Linked DNA regions of Drosophila melanogaster. The protein of the gene in region 1 interacts with the protein of each later gene in a pairwise test. Each region holds a gene or a part of one and is shown in the gene's direction. Other genes may lie near its edges.

The links.
Region 2: the proteins of Cyp6d5 (region 1) and Pka-C2 interact in a two-hybrid assay, tested with the Drosophila melanogaster proteins (one large-scale study listed by BioGRID).

What each region holds. Positions count from the first base shown.
Region 1 is NT_033777.3:14,027,354-14,031,992, forward strand, and holds Cyp6d5 (cytochrome P450 6d5), read left to right. Parts: upstream 1-1,874; 5' UTR 1,875-1,930; coding exon 1,931-2,460; intron 2,461-2,778; coding exon 2,779-2,931; intron 2,932-3,000; coding exon 3,001-3,431; intron 3,432-3,522; coding exon 3,523-3,771; intron 3,772-3,909; coding exon 3,910-4,073; 3' UTR 4,074-4,130; downstream 4,131-4,639. UniProt on the Drosophila melanogaster protein: May be involved in the metabolism of insect hormones and in the breakdown of synthetic insecticides.
Region 2 is NT_033777.3:30,694,998-30,699,014, reverse strand, and holds Pka-C2 (protein kinase, cAMP-dependent, catalytic subunit 2), read left to right. Parts: upstream 1-1,876; 5' UTR 1,877-2,046; coding exon 2,047-2,223; intron 2,224-2,280; coding exon 2,281-2,510; intron 2,511-2,590; coding exon 2,591-2,756; intron 2,757-2,810; coding exon 2,811-3,088; intron 3,089-3,150; coding exon 3,151-3,364; 3' UTR 3,365-3,478; downstream 3,479-4,017. Other genes in the region: CG12069 (uncharacterized protein), read left to right, coding at 3,634-4,017.

The sequences.
Region 1 (4,639 bases):
GCTGTTGTTGTCTTTATATCATTGTTGTTTTTATTGTTGTTTCCATTGTGCGCGTACTGCTTACATACATACTTAACCAAAGTCGTTGCCACTCGCTGCACAAAAACAACAACGGCAACAACGTGGCGGAGAGCAACAACAAATTACTTTGACAGCACAAAGTTCTCAAGTGAACAACCTGAACATCGAAGAGCGACTACCATAAACGTCAAAGTCAACAAAGCGGGTCAAAACAGGCGGTAAAGACAAGCGGAAAGTTTTTGGGGCGGAGAGAGTTTGGCTATTTGTAGGGATACAATATGTGCAAGTCACAGGTTCTTCAGAGCATTGGGTATAGCCCCTGGGCCTAGGTCAATCCGATTCGGAACACCCAGCAAACTATATCACATTGCCACAGCGCCTGATAAGGAAACCAGTTATCTGCTTCATTTAAATTGAGTACATCTTTCAAGTATTTGAATGTGATTAAAACCAGTCTTTAAGCAACATTTATAAATAGAAACTAATTTTGATATGAATTATAAAACAATCAATAGACATGATTAACATGAAGTTACTGAAGATCTGGTACCTTGTGCAGTTTGTTATAATGTGCAGTTTCCAATCTAACTACTAATTTATCTACTAATATAAATTTTTCAGGGACTGCAAATACCCAGTTCTTGCAATCCTGAAAATATCATAATAATCTATCTTTTAGGTAGCCACCTTTATTTCGAGAAATTTTACATTTCTATCTACCTGTAGTATGGCAAAAATAACAACCCAACTGCTAGAAAATGCATCGTTAAGAAACCATCACAATATACATTTCTAAAATTATCTGAAAGATAAAATACTGCGTATTTTCCAGCACAGGAAAGGTAGATGTAAAGATCGTCATTGCAAACGTGTAATCAAATTTAAATTTCATACCGACTTATGTATATACTATCTGCAGTTTTAAAAACTAGTTTATATCCATCGAGTATATATGTATCTCCTTTAATTAATCAGAAATGGTACAACAAAATCAATTTGGAGATCCCAGATAAATTATAAACCCTTACTATGAAGATATGTTATAAGTTATTCCATACATACATACGTTATTAACCTGTTTTCGCGGTTTATAAATAGTTGCCTAATTGTTAGTGCTGTATAAGTTTATAATGATTATATGTATACAAAAAACTAGTTATACATATTTACTAATGCGGATATGAATACAATGTTCCTTTACATATGTGAAAAATCGACTGATTAAAACAAAACCAAATCGGCAAAAGGGGTTCCACATAAAAATAACACCATTACTACGACTAAGTGTTATAAATTTTTACGTATACACATCATTAGCAATCTTCTCGGGAATTAAAATAGTTGTATAACCGTTGAGATGAATAAGAGTTATGTGTATGTGTAAGTGATTGGCACAAGTGACATTATAAATTCCTTAGATGTAGTCAGTGTAGATCAATGCATGTAAAGTTCCTCAATTCCGATACGCCATCAAGAATATATGTATAGAAAGAAAAGTACTCCATCATTATCTCGAAACGATTTGCCGTATCGCCAGCGCAACGTTGGCTAGATGGGTCAAAAGAAAATGCTACCTACCAATATAATAACGATTTGTCGGCACTTTTTTGCCGCCCGCTGAGAACTAGAAACTTGTCGTGTCACACTGAGAAAGCATTGTACGATAATCTCATTGCGAGGAATCCTCCAGCCAACAGCAAACATATATACTGATCGAGCTACACTATAAGGGAATCGCTCGACTCGAGTGGATTTGTTTACGCCCGAGCCCAAAGATACGGTAATCACCCCAGCGATATGGCGAAATTGTTTGCCAACCTAACGACTATAAATCGGCAGTGGACTACGACTAGTCAGTTGCGTTGTAGACCGCTAGAAGTGCGGACATAGTAAACAGTATAGATTCAATATGATCGGAATATATTTGCTGATCGCTGCAGTCACGCTGCTATATGTCTATCTCAAGTGGACATTTAGCTACTGGGATCGCAAGGGATTCCCATCGACGGGAGTGAGCATACCGTTCGGTGCCCTGGAATCCGTGACAAAGGGAAAGCGATCCTTCGGTATGGCCATATACGATATGTACAAGTCGACAAAGGAACCGGTGATCGGTTTGTATCTCACATTGAGACCGGCACTTCTCGTCCGAGATGCCCAACTGGCCCACGATGTGTTGGTCAAGGATTTTGCCAGTTTTCACGATCGTGGCGTGTATGTGGATGAAAAGAACGATCCCATGTCCGCGAGTTTGTTCCAAATGGAAGGAGCCAGCTGGCGGGCCTTGCGCAACAAGCTGACGCCCTCATTCACATCCGGCAAACTGAAGGCCATGTTCGAGACCTCAGATTCGGTTGGAGACAAGTTGGTGGACAGCATTAGGAAGCAACTGCCTGCGAACGGCGCCAAGGAGCTGGAACTCAAGAAGCTAATGGCTACGTAAGTTGAAGCGATTAGATTAGCAAATATCAATTGCGTTGCAATAATGTAGCTAATTATTTGAGTTTTACAAATACTAAACTTATTTTTTGAACAACCAATTCACAGTTTCAGACTGCGATGCGATTATAAATCATGTCATTTCATCCGAACTGAGAACTTGCAATAGTTTTGCTGTCTTATGAAAAAAATGAACATACTAAACTAATGTAACGTAACGCATTCGAAATTTATGGCCGTTGTTAATTGTATTTAAACAGATACCCCTTATCTGATAAACAAACTAATGAAGTGTACTTCATTTATTTCTTTTGTTAGATACGCCATCGACATTATTGCCACGACTATTTTTGGACTGGATGTTGATAGCTTTGCGGATCCCAACAACGAATTCCAGATTATTAGCAAAAAAGTGAATCGTAACAACATTGAAGATATTATTCGTGGAACATCTAGTTTCCTGTATCCCGGGTAAGTTGAAGGTGGACTTTATAGACTTTATAATTAAACATAAAACCTATATCTTTCAACCATTTGCAGGCTGGAGAAATTCTTTGTGAAAATCGGCTGGAAACAGGAGGCCACCGAAAGAATGCGCGAGTTGTCCAATCGAACCGTCGATCTCAGGGAACAGAACAATATAGTTCGCAAGGATCTGCTGCAACTTCTGCTGCAGCTGCGGAATCAGGGAAAGATCAATACCGATGACAATATTTGGTCGGCGGAAAGCACTAAGAATGGTGTTAAGTCCATGTCCAAGGACTTGATTGCCGGCCAGCTATTCCTCTTCTATGTTGCCGGTTATGAGACGACAGCTTCTACAACATCCTTTACCCTATACGAGCTAACCCAAAATCCTGAAGTGATGGAAAAGGCTAAGGAGGATGTTCGCAGTGCCATCGAAAAGCATGGCGGAAAGCTGACATACGACGCCATCTCGGACATGAAGTATCTGGAGGCGTGTATACTCGGTAAGTTTTGATGGGAATATATGGCAGTTCTTTCATATATATTTTCCATATTTTTTTTATAAATGGTTTAATATTGTATACTTTCTAACAGAGACTGCTCGCAAATATCCCGCTCTGCCACTGCTGAATAGAATCTGCACCAAGGACTATCCTGTGCCCGATAGCAAACTTGTGATCCAAAAGGGTACTCCCATCATAATCTCCCTCATCGGAATGCACCGCGATGAGGAGTACTTCCCCGATCCGCTTGCCTACAAACCGGAACGGTATCTGGAGAATGGTAAAGACTACACCCAGGCGGCCTATTTGCCATTCGGCGAGGGACCCAGGATGTGTATCGGTAAGAAGAAAGGTTCCACATGAACAGGGTGAAATGGGAGTTTGAATACTTCAGATAAGTAATACTCAAATCCACTATATCCCACCGATCTCTTTCCAATTGCCCATGGAAACTAAGAAATTTCCGTCTATTTTCCAGGCGCCCGCATGGGAAAGGTGAATGTGAAGATAGCGATTGCCAAGGTTTTGTCGAACTTCGATCTGGAGATCCGGAAGGAAAAGTGTGAGATTGAGTTCGGCGTGTATGGAATACCGCTGATGCCCAAATCAGGTGTTCCCGTGCGTCTGTCTCTCAAAAAGTAGCTCCTAGTCTTGTAATTAAACCATGTAAACCGTATAATAAACGTGCAATTTGTAATGAAAATATGGACAAACATATCAATTGGATGCACTTCTCCCTCACACAGTTACACGCACACACACAAACACAGGCACACGGGCGTACGCACCTTTGTAAATGTAAATAGTTTCTCGTTCTCCGCTTTACATAAGTCGCCCTATTTACTCGAAATTGGGGGGATTCTGAGTAAACTTTGGCTCAGCGAATATTTATTCGCATATGATCTGAATCTCCATATGGCCGGGAAATGCACTTTTTCCAGCTATGACAACACAATATGGCCGAAAAAATACTCTTTCACTTTTTCCAGGCCAAGTTGTGTGAACTGCGCCACACACACGCACATACACACACACACGAGAGCGCACGCACTGGGGACACGCACACTGTCGCACTCGCGGCGATGACGTTTTCGGCCGCAATGCACCTAATTAACGGATATTTTTGCATCTAATTCGATTGCACTCGTTCGGCGGCGACCCTTGGCTATTAGTTTGCAAATTTCCAAGTAAATACGACGAATTTGGCG
Region 2 (4,017 bases), about 17 Mb from region 1:
ACACGTCGCAGGGTGAGGTGGACGGTGTTTCGCCGGGACTAGGAAGTTACTACATTGTTGCTGCCCGGTGAACTGTGAGCCAAATTGAATGCCAAATGCTGAAAACCGAATGCCGAATGCATTTTCCGGCCAGAGAGTGCAGAGCGTGCCTTGATTTATTCCCGATTGTGCGGAGATTAGCGCTAATGGCTGAGGCCAGTCCTCCGGCAGCTGCTTTTCCGGCGGATCGGCGGTTGGGGTGTGGAATCTAAGGGAAAACTGAAACCTTTCAGCATAATTGAATCTGGCCATATATGTACGAGTAGAGCCGGGACATTCACCTACTTAAGCCCAAAAAATGGCCTCTGATAACTAAGCCAAATATTAGCCAGGCCGCCAAAGACAAATGCCATGTGTGTCAACAGTTCATCGAGGCGTCAATTACTTTGCATAGCGCCGGGCAAAAGTCCTGGCAATCGGGGGATTGAGTCCTTCAAGACAACAAATGAATTTTAAGTGTGGCTACGGCCATAGCGGCCAAAAGAAACGGCCAAGAAACGTGTGCGTACGACTTAATCTGCTCTTGGCCCGCTTAGCACACATATATTCCGAGGATATGGAGGATTCTAGGCCTTCCAGATATTATCCGCTTATTTATGGCCGTCGTTAACATATCTTAGCCAACTGAAGTTTATCTGGCGGCTGGGCTCTAAGTTAAATGAGCCAGGATTTCAAACGGAATTTGTACCGAACACACACATTGGCTAAGTGAAATTGTTTAGTTTTTGCACGCCTCCCGTTTCGAGTGCAAGTGAAAGTTTTCAAGTACGTGACGATTTGTTTTATTTTAAGCGAATTAAAAGCTTGGTCCAACAAATATTTGTGCCTGTATAGCTAAGTAGATGAGTCAGAGTCCCCCACCTCAAAACAAAAACCCCTTTTGCCAGCCAATCAATAATGAAGTTCTCCGCTCCTCGAGAATTAATGCCAGGGCATTAGGCCAGACCGAAGGCATATTTAGAAACCCATTTTCACATGGTTCGAGCTCGAACTCGAGAGGACACTCAACCAGGGCTGACCCAATCTGCCAATCTGAATGCCGACCCGGCCGAAAGATAATGATTAATTGTCAATTTAGGTGGCACAATGACAACAGACTGGCCCGAAATGGCCAATAAACGGTTCGGTCGACAGTTACCTTAAAAGCCTGCAACAATTCCGGCATCCGGTTCGTAAGCCTACCACTGTCCCATCTCATGGAGGCCCACTCACATGTCCATCAACATGAAGATGCGGTCTGGAGTTACCAACTTGACTGGCCTGACATGTGGAAATAAATGTACTAGAAAATTACCAACTTATGTAATCTTGGTTAGCATCATTTATCAAGCGGACGTTTTGCAATTTTTCTTACTTTTGCGGCCAGGAGGCAGACGGAAAACAGGACGAGAGGTCCAGACTCCAGGACATGTCGAGAAGTCGGACTCAGAAGCACATGTGTGTGGACTCAGTCACAGTCGCAGGAAATTGCCATTTCTCAGCAGTCGTCCTGGGAGGAGATGGAGGTAAATTTGTCATACCTTGGAGAAGGGCTCAGTCGGCTAATTGAAAGGATCGTTCCTTGACTTTAGGCATTCCTGGAACTTCAGATTCATGAAGTTCACTTTACCTGAAGCTAAACTGCTAAATTGCTGGGATACGATTTATGAAGTAGTTTACTTAAAATAGACAAACAAATTAGAAACTACAAATGGAGAATCCTTAGAATGTGACCAGTAATGGATCAATCAAGAATGAAAGATGGCTCAAATATAGGGTGTTGAAAATGCAGTCATGGTTGTGACACCCATGTCCTCCACAGCGTGGACTTTGCATTGTGGCTTTGACTCAGCCGTCACCGATTATCTGATTAATGAGTAAAATTACTGAAATCCAAATTTCTAGTGTATCAAGCGCCGATTACCGAATAGATTTGCCACTCAAAATCGTTTCGCTAGTCCAGCTTTGCAACGGAAGGCACTCGCAAAGGCGCCGTAAGATGCGCGATTGGCCGGATGTTATGCTGTTATGAGCCAGCACACTTCGCAGTACGTTTTCAACTCCAAGGAAGACTACAACGTAATCCTAGACAACATGAGTCGCGAGTTCGAAGAGCGGTGGAATCACCAGACCCAGTCGCCCTACACCAATCTGGAAAACTATATAACCCGGGCCGTCCTCGGCAACGGAAGTTTCGGCACTGTGGTGAGTTAAAGGGTATTTCTTAGATGTGCTACACCTTCGAAATATAATAATCTTCAGATGCTGGTCAGGGAGAAGAGTGGCAAGAACTACTATGCCGCCAAGATGATGAGCAAGGAGGATCTGGTGCGGCTGAAGCAGGTGGCCCACGTACACAACGAGAAGCACGTCCTGAACGCCGCCCGATTCCCGTTCCTCATCTACCTGGTGGACTCGACCAAGTGCTTCGACTATCTCTACCTAATCCTCCCGCTGGTCAATGGAGGAGAGCTGTTCAGTTACCATCGCAGGTGAGTATTCCCTTTCTGGAGTGCTCATTTCATCTGATCACAGACTGGGTTCCAACGGGTTTCCCCCCCCCATAAAAAAGAGTTCGCAAGTTCAACGAGAAGCACGCCAGATTCTATGCCGCCCAGGTGGCACTTGCTCTTGAGTATATGCACAAGATGCACCTCATGTACCGTGATCTGAAGCCGGAGAACATTCTGCTCGATCAGCGCGGCTATATCAAAATAACGGACTTCGGTTTCACTAAGGTGGGGAAAAGACTTCACATAATTCCCATTGCTTTCATCCTCAAATAATCACAGCGTGTGGATGGCCGCACATCAACGCTGTGTGGAACCCCGGAATACTTGGCCCCGGAGATTGTTCAACTCCGGCCCTACAACAAATCGGTGGACTGGTGGGCCTTTGGTATCCTAGTGTACGAGTTTGTGGCAGGGCGGTCTCCCTTTGCCATTCACAATCGAGATGTAATCCTGATGTACTCCAAGATCTGCATATGCGACTACAAGATGCCCTCATACTTTACGTCCCAGCTGAGGAGCCTTGTCGAGAGCCTCATGCAGGTGGACACCTCAAAGCGGTGAGTGGAGTGGGAGTGGGTCAAGGTGCTTCCAATGCAGTGCTCATGCCACCCCTTCTCAGTTTAGGAAACTCGAACGACGGCTCCAGCGACGTGAAGAGTCATCCGTGGTTCCAGGGCGTAGATTGGTTTGGCATTCTCAACCAGGAAGTCACCGCCCCCTACCAGCCCACCATTTCCGGCGCCGAAGATCTGTCGAACTTCGAGAACTTCGAGTTCAAGGATCGGTACAAGTCCCGAATAAACCGCCATCCCGAATTGTTTGCGAATTTTTAAATGTCAATGTGTCCTTCGAAATCGTCGTTTTCTTTAGTGTTTGCTTAATTTCAAGGGGTGCTATCGTGATTGGATTTTGTAAAAGTAGTTTTCGCAATACAGCTCTCTTATTACATTCATAAATGGTCTTTTGATAAATAAATAGCAGCCCTGGAGCGTCAGGTCATTTTCAATCCGAGCTTTCGTAATGCTTTAGACAAAAATTCGAAATTCTGGTATAGTTAATTGACGCGATCACTCAGAACTCTAATACGCGAGTTGTTGTCGCAATGGGTCCCCAGCCGGAGCAAGCGCAGATGCACTTCAGTCCCAAGGTGGACTACATTCTCATCCTGGACAAGTTGCGCGAGGACTTCAACAAGAAGTTCGCCACCAACACGCCGTCGCCTAGTACGGGTCTGGATGACTACGAGATTAAGGCGACCCTCGGATCCGGATCCTTCGGCAAGGTGCAGTTGGTGAGGGAGCGCGAGTCCGGCGTCTATTACGCCTCCAAGCAGCTCAGCAAGGATCAGATCGTGAAGACTAAACAGGTGAGCCACGTGATGAGCGAGAAAAACGTGCTGCGTTCGATGACGTTCCCGAACACGGTCAACCTGATAGCCTCCTACAAGGACTTCGACAGCCTTTACCTCGTCCTGCCCCTAATTGGT